Tribolium castaneum: one gene and its partner. The protein of the gene in region 1 purifies or fractionates together with the protein of each later gene. This does not show direct contact. Links are inferred from orthologs where the notes say so. Each region holds a gene or a part of one and is shown in the gene's direction. Other genes may lie near its edges.

Region 1 (7,705 bases):
TATTTGGTGAAAGTTCGATGAAAGAAATGGAATATTTGGAGAAGGGAAAGAAATCAGGGCAAAATTTAAAGACAGAAAAAAAGAAACAGAACGCAAGTCCATCAAAAAAACAAAAAGCAATAGTAAAGTGTCTTGCAAATAAAAATAAGGAACACAGTGTCACTGATGACAGTGGTTCCGATGAATCGCAAAGAGTGTCAGTTAAGGCGGTCGTACATGCAAGTGCTACACAAAAAAATAGTAAAAAGCCAGCAGGAACACAAAAACAACAACTAAGAAATGTAGACAATATACATATTTTGGAATCAGGATTAGGTCAGTGTGGGTTTTATAACTGCAGGGTGACTCAATGAAGAGAAAAAATCTTTTATTGACCATTAAATGTTAGAAAGCCCAAAATACTAATCCCTTGACTCATATAAATTATTTTCGAAATTAAAGACTGTTTCGGAAATGAGCTACCTACAAGCTGTTTCAAAACTATAAAAACGCCAACGTCGCATTTTACCGATTAATTTTTTTTAAAAAAGGTTGATAAAACTGTAAAATAGTTTTTAATGAGTAGATATCTAATTGAAAGTATAAATTACATGAGTATTATTTCTTTGAAGTGCATGAGTAAAATTACTTATGTATATAATAGCTAATTGTGACAGCTAATGGGACACCCCATATTTTTTGCGTTTGTGAATATAGTTTTAAAAACTGATGATTTTAACCTAAACTTTTAATGATCGAGTTTGCTTAGTTTTTGAAATATATTTTTTAACGAAAACACGCTTTATTTAAAAATTTATTAGTATTCAAAAACTAAGAACCCTAGATAAGGGTCCACCACTTTAAAGAAGAAAGTTCTAGCTTTAAGGATATCATTTCGTTTTAGTTTTTTGCAACTAAGAAAATAAAAAAATTAAGAGGTTTCTTAAAATTCTTAAATATTTTTTCGAAAATTATATATTTGAAAATAATTTTTGGGTTAGTATCTACGGCTTTGGGAAATAAATCTCACATTTAAGTTCAGTAACGAATTTTTTGAAGTCGCTGAAACACCCTGCATATTTTTTGAAACTCTGAAAATTGTATTTTTCATGAAAAAATTATTTGCATTTTCATTTATAGACGTAATGACTAATAGTGATGAAGAAACGTCACGCGAAGTTGAAGCATTTTTTGAATCAAATAATCAGGATACTAATTTCGGTGCACCGAATCTGGACAATTTGCAACAGAAACCATCACTAAATAGTAAGTTGCTTGTGAAACTCGTTTTTGTGGTTGCGAAACCTACTGTACTTATTTTTAGATAGCGTTAATAAATCAGCTGAAAAAAGTACAGCGAGGAAAACACAAAATAAAAAGGGAAAAAAGCAGACAAAACGTTCTACAACGAAGTCTGAAGCCCAAAGTACAACAGGAATTACTGAAACGACAACTGACGACACAACAGGATGTCAGTTTAAAATTGTTTTGTATTTTTTAAGTCACTGTGTATTTTAGGTATGCAAAGGAGATCGGGAAGGCAACGAAAACAAACAAAGATTAATTCAGCTGGTTACATCCTATGCACTGAAAGGGACAGATATTGTAAAACCTAATCACATTTTTTCTCTGTTTTGAATAGTTTTCTTATAGATAAAGTCGCAACGGCGGTAAGGCATATATCACAAGTAACGCCTGAATGTTCATTTCGACTTTCGGGACTACAAAAACGGCGTACTCGTATAACTCAAATGCCACCAATTATGGAGTCGGAAGTTGAAATGGAAGGTAATACTCAAAAGTCGAAAAGGAAAACTAAGAAACCGGCTAAAAAACAATCAAGTAAGAAACTTAAGAAAGATGAGACCCCAAAACGTCAAGAAACTAGGACTGTTTCTGAATCGGAGACAAATCTAACCAGAAGTGATTACATTGTTGGAGAAAATGTAATTACCTCCGATTATGTTAGTGCAGAAAATGTTGCACAAAACACTCAAATACCATTTGTAAGACTAGAAGAAATTACTTCAAGGAACATTGGTTCTGAAGAACTTCATAACACCGTCTTTTCTTCACCACCGTTGCAAGCACAAGAGAGTATCAAGAAAAATTCTGTTATATCTGGAAGAATATCTAAACGGTCTAGTACCAAAACCAGCGCGAAAAAAGTTAGGGATTCCTTGAAAAAGGTAGTCGAGACTCAACGCGACTCAAGCGGTAATTTCATGATCTGTCCAGCAACTAATGAGCTTATTAGTGAGTCGAATTTGTAGTTAAAAATTTCTCTCTTTATTATTAATTTTACAGGATACAGTTTCAAAAATCCGGTGTACAAACCGATCGCTAACTTGCCTGGTGTCACGTACGCTGTGACGGAAGCTGTAAAACTGGGATGGTTGAAGATAAGCGGAGGAATGTCAAAGCCATTATTTAAAACTAAGAATCACACTATGGTATTTTGCCTTACGATTTTATTGAATGTTTTCATTACTGACCAGGTTATTTTCAGTCGTTCGTAGTTGTAGAAGGAAAAGCGGAGGTGGGGATACAGGACAAGTGTGATTTGTATAAAAAACATGACATATTCATTGTTCCACAAGGTAACTTGGGTATGTTGTTTGAGTTTAAGTGTTTGCACGGAGTTTTGTTTCAGGAGCGGAATATTACATAGATAACAAAAATAAAACTAAGCCCTTGCTATTGGTTTTCTTCAAAGACGCTTATGCGGACAAACCGACGTAATAATGATACTCTTGGCGACAAATTTAGTTAGTAGTGTTTCTTACATTATCGAGTTCATTTGTTATTTAGTTATACTTTTCATTAAGAATATGAATATTATATCTTTAATAAAAAGTTTACAGAACTTATAAAATGAGTTTTTATTTCATGTGAAACCATATATCATTTTTAATTTTCATATGTTTTGAATCGTTTTTGTGGTGTCTTAAATATGTTTCCTTTTTTTTGTTGGTAACATTTTAAGCCTTCTTTTTAATACCTGAATTCTAGATTATAAACACTATTTTAAAACACGTTTCCCCATAGCAACTTGTTTTAAATTAAAATGTTCCAACAAATAAAATGATAACACCTATGCGAAAACGCTTAAGGTTCTCGCATACGCTCGTTGTAAAAGACAGCCCTCGAACTTTAAGCTTGTGTTTTCGCACTCCTATTATTAATAACTGTAAAATTTCATCAAGTGAATGTAAATTAAACCCAAACAACCTTTTCTATGTAATAGGATTGTTGATTGTTTCAAAAATATCGTTTTTAGTTATTTGCATTTAGAATCATTGTTTAAATACAATAAAAACTTAAGTGCAGCGTTAAATGCCTTCCAACCGTTTTCAGTATTTTGGGAAACATTTCACTATTTTACAGAAGTAGTTTTCTATGGAACTCAACTCTGGCAATGCCTTTTTGCGTTTGAATCGTGCATGAATGAGAAAAATCATCAGAGAGGGTGCAAAAACCTTGTTTAAATTATTAATGAGAGTGGAGTGTAAACTCGTTTTCCCATCGACTTTCCCGGAAAACGCCGACAGTTTTAGAATCCCTGTTCGCACAGTTGCCCTGCGCGTTGTTTATAATGCCCTTGTCCGGAATCCCGTTTCAGTCCGCGAAGGCGTCGCGACGTGCACCGGCGCCGCGATTTGGTGTTCCGTCGTCACTTGCACACATTACACGACGTCCAAGAAGCTGACTCCGGATCCGCCTCACTCAAGGTTTGTTTATGTTGCTCTGTATATTTACGTTCGTCGCTTTATTATCGATTCAGGAGCCCCAAGCACATGGTGCGAAAATCGGATAAGCGCGTTTTTTTTTCGCGTCTTGAAGTAAATTAAACGTGAATGAAATAAGAGCAAACGCTTATAAATATACAATTGAAATCGATAGCCGCTAGTAAATGGATTGGGAGATGAAATAGTCATGAGCAAGAACTCATTTAATTTGCATTATGCTTCGGTTATTGCATTTGAGGAAGTTTGCTTGACTGTCGCTTTATTTCAATTAGGGGCGAAGTGAGCGCTTTTTACCCGGAAAATCAAACTAACGGAGATACTTTAGCTTAATGGGGATGCTGTATGCGATGTATGGACGGTAATGGGAGATAATTCGAGACGAGGAGGATTATTGAAAACTTTGGAACAATGCCATAAGGGATATTTGATTGGACTCGATTTTATACGATTTTATACCTAGCCGAACACGCTAATACAGACTTAAATGTTTAGAAGACTATATACTTATTCAAAAATTGAAATAAACGTTTATTCTCATAAAAAAAAACAAATTCAAAAGAGGAGAGTAAAATGTATTAATATTGTTCGTGTAGGCAACCAAATATACAACATTGTACAATCAATGCATTACAGTAAAAAATACAACAATAATAATTAAAGTATTATTTATTTAAACAACACGAATATATCCTAAAATTAAATAATACATTAAAATATTTACATATGCAAGTAGCTTATTGGTAATTTTATCGCACTAATCTAATCTACATAATCTTAATCGAAATCGGATTGTTCTTAAGGGTAGATTACCACATTAACGGCTCATGTATGTATTTACATACATCTCCGCGTAATATAAATGGTATAAGAAACATTACATTATTCATTAGCTTGTAGAAACAGTTTTTTATTCTTGAATACGAGAACAAATTTTTCATAGTTGCAAAATTTTAAATTCAAAGAGATAAATTTTATTTTGCAATTTTTTTCTTGTAATTTGATTAGTTACATATAATTTTTTGCATTCTACGTATCCACTATTAAAAATTTTGTTTTTATTATTTCTTCTTTTTGTAATGAAGCACTCGTTTAGGTCAGTAGCATATTTACATACGGGCTAAATGGGCTATAGCATATGGTGGTAGAAGTTTAGGCGTGGCAAAAATATTTTTTTCCACAATCACATTATATTTGGAGTTTTATCCACCCTTATGAAGCATCTAAAGAGACCTATTATCCACTAGTCGAATAAAGTAACTTTATTCCACTAGTGAAATAATGAAAAAATTAAAATTTAACTTTGATTAATTCTATTTTGTTAATTTGGTAATTGTGGATAAAACGTTGTATTGCGACGTGTTTTAGTCGCGTTCTATCCACTTAAGAATGTTATTCAGTCTTGCGTGGATAAAATGCTTTCTAAAACACATACAATAAATAACTATTATTTTGATTAATTAAAAGCTAGTAATTAGAGGGTTGAATTTTTTTAAACCATTTGATCAGATTTTTTGTTTTTCTCGCATTTTTTTACTTTTTAAATTCCTAATTGTTTGGTTAATGAATTTTAAGAAGACTTTAGATATGGTTTCAATTTATTTTATAGAAAATTTACGATGAAAATCTCAGTAGTACACAGTACAGAAAAATCTATAGATTTTTTTATAAAAATGAAAGAAGTCAGCGACAACGTAGTATTATAAAAAAGTTGTAAAAATGGCTAAATTTTTTGGAAAATACTGACTGATTTTTTAATAGATTATTATTAGAATAATTTAACTATAATAATGCAGCTGTGTACATTAGTCTTAAGTGTTACAAATTTCCAAAGTACGTACGACAAAAAATGTCTGTTAATAAAAATTGTCCATTTTCGGGTTTGTAATTTTTTTCATATTTTGTGAACCATATTTTCTGAAACCAATAAACGGTTTTTTAAGAAATTTAAGTTACCTAAGGCGGTATAGTGGACCCAGTGGTTTACGTAAAATAATTATTGCAGTATAGAAGATTATATAACTTTTTTATAATATAATTTGCAATATATAAAACGCTCAAAAAAATTGGCGCATTGTTGAGCGACCTGTTTTAGTTTAGTTTTGATTTCAAAAATTTCTCCATTACTGATAGAAATTTTGATTCGCTCATAAAATTCTTAAAAAAATATAAAATAAACAAAATTCCATTTCGGCTTAATTACAATTAAGCACGAACTGATCCAAACTGTTGCTCCTCGCGTGTTTCCCTTATCGGACTTTTTCCAATAAGAGAGCATCTTATTTTATTATTAATCACATTTCCGCAACTAAGTCCGTAAAAATTCCTTTTTAATTCACCTCAGCGTAACGACCTGGAAACTTCTGCCCATTTTTATCTTTTCTTAATAAATAAAGCTGTCACATCACGCTCTCGTGTGAAATATGATCATTTAAAAATTGTGTTTCGTGGAGAAAGAACCATTTCATGCCATCCGTGTCCTACAAACTCACAACTCCATAAAGACCACCAAGAAATAATAAAAGCACAGACGGCGTAATTTATTCCCCGCGCGTAATGATCGCCGCTAAAAATACACCACTATTTATAATTTTGTGTATTTGTATTGTAATTGTACTGTAAAACGCCAACGATTGTTTAGTTTCTTGGGCAAGTGTTTTTTGTCGGGTAGGCATGTCACGTGTGAGCAAGCCAAGAATCTCGCAGAGATAAAAGGGTTGCTGTATTGCCACCTACGTAAGGCTTTCGGAGACGTTCCACGTACAAATTTACATTCTTGGCGGTTCGCTGTTTAGGTATCTATCAAGTGTTTTATTTAGGAATTTTCTGTTCAATTTCCCGGAACATCCGAAGGATTGAGAACTAAAAGCTTTCTTTAGTAAATTGGCTCACGTTTGAAATCTTCAGATTCATCTGCGAAAGTCGATAGATATAAGACCGCGGGAGGACAAAACACAAAACTAAGTCTTCTCGATACAACCACAGATTTTATTTATTTCGGAAAAGTATGGAATTTGCTCGAAATCAATGAGAAAGCAGGAAGGTAATGAAATTTACTGCGAACGAACAAAATGAAACGGCATTGCAAGGACTTGGAAAAGGACTAACACTAACTACAACTTGTACCAATTCCATCCTGCCTCGTATTTTTCAAAACTTTGCGAATACGGTCACAGATGCAAGAAAAATGTTAGACAGAAAGTTGTAGAGAATTAAGTTTTAACCAGGCACCAAAGTGATTCAAAGACGCTCAAGCGTACTGTAGTACTACAACTTTTGTCCTTTCAGTTTTTTTTGTCTCTTCAATCGTATTCGCAGCGTTTGCAAATTTGGAACGCAAATTGGGATAATTCGTTGCATATTTATCAAAACGCTGGGAATACGGTTGAAGATACAAAAAAGTGTAAGAAACACAGTTGTAGAAAATTAAATTCGCTATAAAAAAGTCTGCGGCACCATATTTCTACCTTTTACAGTTTTGGTATAAATTAACAACTTTCCTTTACTTAAACAAATCCGTCGCTTCAGCGTTTCTTAACGTCTTTGGGGCTTTTTTAAAGGAAATTAAATTCTCTACAAATTTCTTACTAACACTTTTCTTATATTTTTAACAGTGAGTGACACGATTAAAAAACATATTTGCTCTTACTTGAAGTAGAAGCATTTACTCTGTAGTATTTACTAGTATTTACTGTAGTATAAACTTTTTACATAAAATAAAAACTTCAGTGCCTTGTAAATATGGTAGTACCTAAATGCTACGGCTTTCTTGTAATGTCAACTGATTGACATTAATTTTTTTTATTTTTCGTAAAGTGGAAATAGTGTTTGTAGCTTTGTGAGGATTTGTTCGCCTTGGTGATATGGGGTACTTAAGTTTATGAGAAGTGTCTAGGCCAAAAAACGCAGGGAGAGACTCCCCAGTAAGGTGGGCCATTCTTACACGTATGAGTTTAATTGTTTTCAAATTTGAAAACGCA
Region 2 (7,216 bases), on another chromosome or scaffold:
GTAACGGTAGTAACAACGTAGCGCAAGACGCAGCAAACACAAAACACACCTGAGATTAAATTCGAACTTGGAGAGTTTTCTGATAACGGCGGAAATAAGCCTCGTGTTACATAATTGCGCGATTTTCAGGTGCGTGATAACATTATAAAAGCGCACAATACGCATTCCTGTGCTGGGAAAATAAGTTTATGGTCGATTGAGCGAAATTTTCATCTATGCCGATTGTTAAATATTCATTGGCGGGACATAATACTTTGAAATGTATGCAAAATGAGTGTTTTGGCACCGCAATTGACTTGTAGATTGTCTATGGCAAAAATCCCACCGTCTTGCATAAACAAATGACTCTCGTTTGTGTGAATATTGGCAAGAGTTCGAGTCCGGCCCTGCACATGAGTCAGTTGTTTTGTTTGATTGAAACAAATCTAGTTTTTCGCGTGATTCGAGTCGAAAATCGCACATTTTGGCAGTTAGGGCTTCTATTCCACATCCATGTAATTAGTCGCCGAGACGCCTATTTTTAGATTTTAAAATTCTAGGCGCCTAAGTCGGACGTCGAACCTTTTGCCGAATGCACAAGCAAAATAATGAACTTATTTACACTTCTAGCGTCTTATTTATTTGTTTTATTGCTCCACACGTGCGGACCAACTTAATTAAACCAGAAGTGAGCAAGAGGTGTTACCCTCGCCAACTGCGGGACCAAATTTCGAGTCAGCTCATTTGAGCTGTTTCAAACTGGAACAAAGCAGTAGCTAATTAAGAAATTAGCCCTGTTTGTCTTAAAGAACTATTATCACTAATTATTTGTGGTGCGCTCTATTTATTTTAATTCTGTTACATGGTTACGGTCTCGCGTCGGGAAAAATTCGGGCCTTCGTCGGCCATGAAAACTTCACCTCCCGATCGTGTATGAATGAATTAATTAAAAGTAACAGAATACGTCTGTTATGGTTACGAAACGTACAAATCCTTTCACAACGATGGTGGACTTCCGTACGAATTATTAATCCAGTGTTTGGCACGGTCGGCCATTTTCCATGATGGCGTCTGTTTGTATTTTTTCCCAGTGAGTTAACCTTAACCCGTTTAAAATTTACCGCTATTATAAATAAATTCCCAAGCTCGCGAGTTTTAAATCAGTTTCCTATGTTCGCAGCAAGGTGATGAAAAGCCATCCCGCGTCCCTGTTATCAAATCACAAACAAAGGTCCTTGACATTTAAAATATGTCGCTGAAGTACTGTATTTTATTTATGTGTAGTTGAATAAACTAACGGAGCTAATGTCGGCTAAATTTCTCAAAACTTGTAGATTGAATTTAAATTGGAATTTAAAATTTCTGAACGTTTGTACAACATTTCTCTGAATAAATTAAATGTTCTGTTTTTACTTGAAATAAGTGTGGCTATATTGTGATATTTTTAGTTTGTGGCGGTATTTTTATCCCGGAAAACCATTGGCGTCGCACAACATGTGACGGGGAATTCGATAATTAACTAAATATGGACTTTTACCAAATCGCACTTTCTTTTCCACAATTGCCTCATTAAAAACCGCGCAACTTATCGATATGTAATAGGCGTGAATTTTTCATTTAGTGGATAATTGCGTCAGAGGCCGGGTTCGAGCGCCGGCTAATTTGTTATTATCAGCTGCTACATCCACTTTCCATGTGATCGCGCTTATCAGATTTTTCGTATCCTGTTGAGACCCATCGAGGTTTTGGGAGTAAAGTTCAAACTTCACAGCATCTAGATTAATGCTGTGTTTTGGTTAAATTAAAATTGATTGGTGGTCTTAAATGGTATCTGACGCATTGATTGTTGAATGTATTTTTCAGAGAGGCAAGTACACGTAGGTATGTGGTGGACTGTTATTAAAATCCACCCAGATGTGGATTCCACTCCTAGGTATTCTCCATTGTCTCGATTGCAAACACGGGTCTTTATCCCAATCAATTATTAGAAAGTAAACGCGATATAACATATCTTTCCTTTGTAACATTTTTAAGGTCATCGCATTCGAGAATAAATAATAAATAGTTGCTCCTTAACAAGAATAACAATTTACAGTTAGGTGCCGTATAAATTTTTCCAAATGATTAACGTCCACTTTTGACCAATTAATTAACAATTGCGCAAACTGCACTGATAAACTCCTGATTAAGGTAACGCTGGCGCCACTGATTCCCACTTGCCGTTGCCGAAATACAAAGCGACGCCATGTTGCCGTTCAATTTACATAATATGATAAAGCAAAACTTTGGCTAATAATAGAGATTTATTTTATTGGCACTGGATCATATTTTCTCCTATTTTCAGTTTTTACAACCACGTGTCACTTCCTGTTGCCTGGCTTGGCCTTTAAAGGTCGATATATCCATGTATCATTGAAAACAGGTAGATTTCTACTTTTTCAATGACTCAGTGCCATTCATTTCGTCTTCCAAGAATATTTGGCAAATCGTTTGTAGAAAATACGTTTCAAGAAAACTTTCCAACTCTCCTCATTGATTTCACCGAACTTCACATTTTTTCTTTCTTTCTTTCGCATTTTCAAATTAAATTAAATCAATTAAATGGGCATGTATTAGGGTGGCTCAATTTCACTCAATGCCAGGTCAAGGGGCGCTCTTATTTACACTACTGATAAAGTTAAAAATAAAACAAGTGTTGCGTTCGACCAAAAATCGTGTGAACCTGACTTTTTCATTACTATTGCATAATTGATTGTAAGGCTTAGGGATAAAAATATTTGCTCGTTTTATGACGTGGCTGTTTGTTCTTTTTTAAATTTATTACCTTTGTCAAGATTTCATATCGCCACGGTTTAATCTTTCCGTGGAATAGAGATAATCAAGTGTTTGTTGTAGCACTTATCAATTAAAAAACGAACAATGGGGGATTATCCACTTTCTGTGTGACGTTTCACGTAAATGTTTGTTTTCCAAACAAAATAAATTGCTGATCCTACTACTAATCTGTATTTTAGCCATTTGTCTGAAAGTAAAAAACTATTACTATTTTTTGTTATATAACGTCTTTATTGTCTATGTGGCTTTTCTCGAAATTATTTGTTATTCTACATTATGTATATTTACACTTCTTTTTTCTTCTTTTCCTTCACCATTTTCGTTTAGAACGTCTAACGTCTCCGTCTCTTCTCCACGTAATCTGCATATTCTGTCTCAATCCATAATTCCATAATTCGTTCTCCCTTTCCTCACTTCCCCTTTTTATCTTTACTTTCCATCTTACTTAAGTATTTGGAGAGTTCATCGTTAATAAGCATGGCATATTTTGCGTTATACCTCAATTCTCTTATGCTTGTTATTTTTCCCTGCCCATCTATGTCCGCATCTCTCAGTTTCAGTTCATCTTCCATTGTTCTTCCCCTTTCTTTCAATTTCTATACACGCATACCCCTTCTTCCATAATTCTATCCATCTAACATTTTCATTTGATGTTTTCATTTCTGCTCCGAATTCCTAATTTCTCTTCAAATTTCACAGCTCTCTTTCCTGATTCCTCTCTTACTATGTACCCCGGCAATTAGCGCTATCACTCATTTTATATACTTTTTCACCAAGCTATCAAACATCATTCTTCTCTTGTATTTTCACCAAATTGACGTTTTCCCAAGCTCCTAAAACCTTATTTGCTCTTTTGGAGCTTCTTTTATATGGGCTGTCTGACATCTTGCTATTTACTACATAACCCAAATACTTCAACTCTTTCACCTGTTCTATATTTTTTCCTTCCAATTGCCACTCATCCTTTTTCCTTTCTATTTTTTTTTTCCAAACACCATCATTTTTGTTTTATCTACTTTTACTTTACGTATCTTTTCATTATTTTTATCATTTCCTTCATCTCGCTCTTGCTTTTTGCTACAATCGTCTGCAAACGCCAGGATTTGCACTTTCTCTCTGCCTATACTGTTCCACCAACTTGTGCCTTTCTTAGAACCTCGCCTATGTCCCCTAGGCCTGATAAGAATAATGCAGAGCTTAACGAACAACCTTGTTTCTTCACCAATTTTTATTTCTTCATAAATTTCCTCTTATTCTTCTCACCAACCACTTGCACACCTTTGGATTATTTTGCTTATCATGCCTCTTCCATGCATTTCTGCTCTTAGTCTCTCATCTAGTAAACAGTAATATTTTTCGCTTGATGTTTGTCCCCTTTCTTGTAAATTGGGATAATTAGTCCTTTTCTCCAATCCTTGGGCAGGTAAAAAACTGAAGGTTTTTGTTGGTTGCTTTATTACGTACTGAATAAAGATTGGTGATCTTGAACGTTATTTCGGATAAACAATGAAATATTTTGGCACTGTGGTGGACTCTTGCGAATACCGTGGCTTTTGTTTTAAGTTAGAAAATGAAATTCTCCTTAAAATTCAATTAGTTTCGCATCTTTCTCCACTTTGGAGCGGTTTAAGAATGCCATTAGTTTGTTGGTCGGTAAAACCCTTTCGCATTAGTGGCAAGCACATTGTTTTACGTTGGAATTGCGTTTGCAGCCACATAACTCGGACCACAACTTGGGAAGACCCGCGAAAGTCGCTGGCTGCGCAAGCGGCAGCCCAACAACACCAAAGTGCCGAACAGCTTTTAAGTTCTCATCAGGTGTCGCAGGCCCAAGCCCCCAATTCCACGCCCCGTAAGTAGTTTCGATGGTTCTGCCAAATCTGGTACAATTTGATGATAGAGCCAAATGCAGTTCAAAAAAATCCAAAAGTGGCAGCTCGTGCCTTGTTGAAAGTTTTGAACTCCATTTGCTGATTTGCCTGATCCTGATAATTAAATTGGGGAAAATGTTTTCTCTAGCTGCCAAAGTGAGTACAGACGTAGATTTAGGCCCTTTGCCTGAAGGTTGGGAGCAGGCACAAACTCCTGAGGGAGAAATTTATTTCATAAATCATCAAACACGTACTACTTCGTGGTTTGACCCTCGAATTCGTAAGTTAAGCCACACGGGCGGGAAAGGGGCTTTTTCGATCTGGGATTTTTTTTCCAGCCACACATTTGCAACAGAGATCTCCCGGCACGGCTTCGGTTAGTGGGCAGTCGTGGCCAAGTGGCTCTTTGTCGCAATCCTCGCCGGCTAAACAGCAACAGTTTCGACTACAACTGTTGCAATTCGAACGTGACAGACTGAAATTGCGACAGCAAGAAATTCGAATGCAACAGGAACTTATGATGCGGGGGAGTTCCAACGACTTAGCGCTAGACCCCTTTCTGAACGACCACTCCAGGCAGGAGTCCGCCGACAGCGGCTTAGGTAAATTTTTTGATTGTTGGTGGGTGTTTTCGCGGCGCGGAATGTGCGAGAAATGTTGTTTTGCTTTGTTTACACCGATATTTCCAAATGATTATCATTTCATACTGAAAAAGAATGTGCGAAGCTTTAAATTTGGCTTGGCGCCATTTTGATCAAGAATTCGGTGTTTTCGTTGATCAATAGCGTTCTGGTCACGCAATTCTCCCCTAAGGGTTATTGACTTGCAGGTTTGGGGACGACGTATTCGATGCCTCACACGCCGGAGGATTTTTTTGATTGTACGGAGGATTTAGTGCCTTCGCTCCAACTGGGCGAAGAGTTCCCGACTGATTTGGGCGAGGAGTTCCCGACTGTCATTTTAGACGATGATGTACAATCGTTAATAAATCCGCCGACTACGAAGCCCGACAATGTGCTCATTTGGTTGTAATAAAGTGCCTACTTAAGTAGCTCAGCTTCTACGAATGTTTTATATTGATAGAAATTTAAGACAAAGTTTGGCAGTTGGATGGTAAAGACTGTCGTCTGTATCGTTATTTTGCAATATGTACCATTTGAATACGCTTTAAATGGCAATAATAATCAAAACATATTTTTAATGTTATTATAATTTTACATTTATCGCATTTGTAATTCTCAAATCAGTTACTGTTGGGTATGTTTTTCATACATATGTATTTTATAGTTTGTAATTTTTAAGTTAGAGTTGTAGTTTATGGTGCAGATGATATTTTGTCAGTTTTGGTAAGATATCGATCAAATTATTGAGTACTGAACGCAAAATTCAATATTTATTTATTGTTGTATTAGAGTTAATTATTTAACAATTTTTATTTATGTCATGTATAACTTTTAACCTCTGTTCCAAATCTAACGTTGTGATAATGTTTTCGCAAAATTTTATTAATTGGTAGGAATACTTAACTGTATCCCTATTTAATTTTACTTGTTACTGTATGTGCAATGCACCCCTGCTCCTCCCAGGACCAGACTTGTTGCATCGCGAAGGATTCAACTCGTATAAATATGCTCACACTGAACTAATCCCTCCATTTTGTGCCTTTAATTGGTAACGTATATGTATATATTTTATTGACAACGGTTACTTGTAGTCTTAGTTTTACAATTTCTAAAATATATTTTACACTAACATATTGTAACAGTGCCTTTCACATTTACTCTAGTGTTTAAGTGCTTATTGTATCACCACCAATTGGTACAGCTGTGATTAAGAATCAGAAATTTTGGACCGTTTACAGGTGTTATTAGCTGCAAAATTCACTTCACGAAGCAATACTCAACGCAATCAGTCTTGTGGCTACTAACACTGATTTTTCATTTGTGGGCCAACCAAGCGAAATGTTAGCCGATGAGGGAGCGAATCTTAATTTCAATCAAGCTTTCAGTAAGGAGAAAGGAGATGCCGCTTGATTGGCCTACTGTTTTATTGTGAAATTATTGTATTAGTTTATAATTGTAAATATATATTGGAAATATTAGTTATGAATTTTATTTGATCAAAAAATATGGTTACACTCGTACTTAATCCTAGGTACTACTAAAGGCACAGCAAGCGTACTTATCGTACAGGTTATAACCTAGAGTTAAAATGACTGTACAAAAATAACACTGATAAAAGCTCAAACTTGTCGTGAAGGCAATTTTATTAAAATTAATGATTAACTAAAATGTTTAACTGGTGCATCCGGTATGGCAAAACATTTTAATCTAGTGAAATAAAATTGAGAATAACATATTAAAAACTGTACGTAACTGATTAAGTACAATAAGTAGGAACACATCTTGTTTCCTCACCACGATATTCGGCTCAAAAAGCAACAAAGATAAACTAAATGGCAAGTATTAAAAAACCTAACTTTTTGAGCACCATATTCCATTGCAACGAGCCAACAGTTCAGAAATTCTGTT

What was found.
Region 2: the proteins of inaD-like protein (region 1) and yki purify together in Homo sapiens (affinity purification with mass spectrometry; 6 studies listed by BioGRID and IntAct, with this or other methods). This does not show direct contact. The link is inferred for Tribolium castaneum from reciprocal best matches to the Homo sapiens genes MPDZ and YAP1.

What each region holds. Positions count from the first base shown.
Region 1 is NC_087396.1:16,497,458-16,505,162, reverse strand, and holds the start of inaD-like protein, read left to right. Parts: upstream 1-3,569; 5' UTR 3,570-3,710; intron 3,711-7,705. Other genes in the region: uncharacterized protein LOC103313626, read left to right, coding at 1-315, 1,120-1,245, 1,304-1,450, 1,498-1,584, 1,633-2,235, 2,287-2,432, 2,489-2,579, 2,633-2,721. UniProt on the Homo sapiens protein: Member of the NMDAR signaling complex that may play a role in control of AMPAR potentiation and synaptic plasticity in excitatory synapses. Promotes clustering of HT2RC at the cell surface.
Region 2 is NC_087403.1:7,360,904-7,368,119, forward strand, and holds the end of yki (transcriptional coactivator YAP1-A), read left to right. Parts: intron 1-4,526; coding exon 4,527-4,666; intron 4,667-4,833; coding exon 4,834-4,965; intron 4,966-5,023; coding exon 5,024-5,287; intron 5,288-5,514; coding exon 5,515-5,717; 3' UTR 5,718-6,786; downstream 6,787-7,216. Other genes in the region: hpo (serine/threonine-protein kinase 3), read right to left, coding at 7,203-7,216. UniProt on the Homo sapiens protein: Transcriptional regulator with dual roles as a coactivator and corepressor. Critical downstream regulatory target in the Hippo signaling pathway, crucial for organ size control and tumor suppression by restricting proliferation and promoting apoptosis.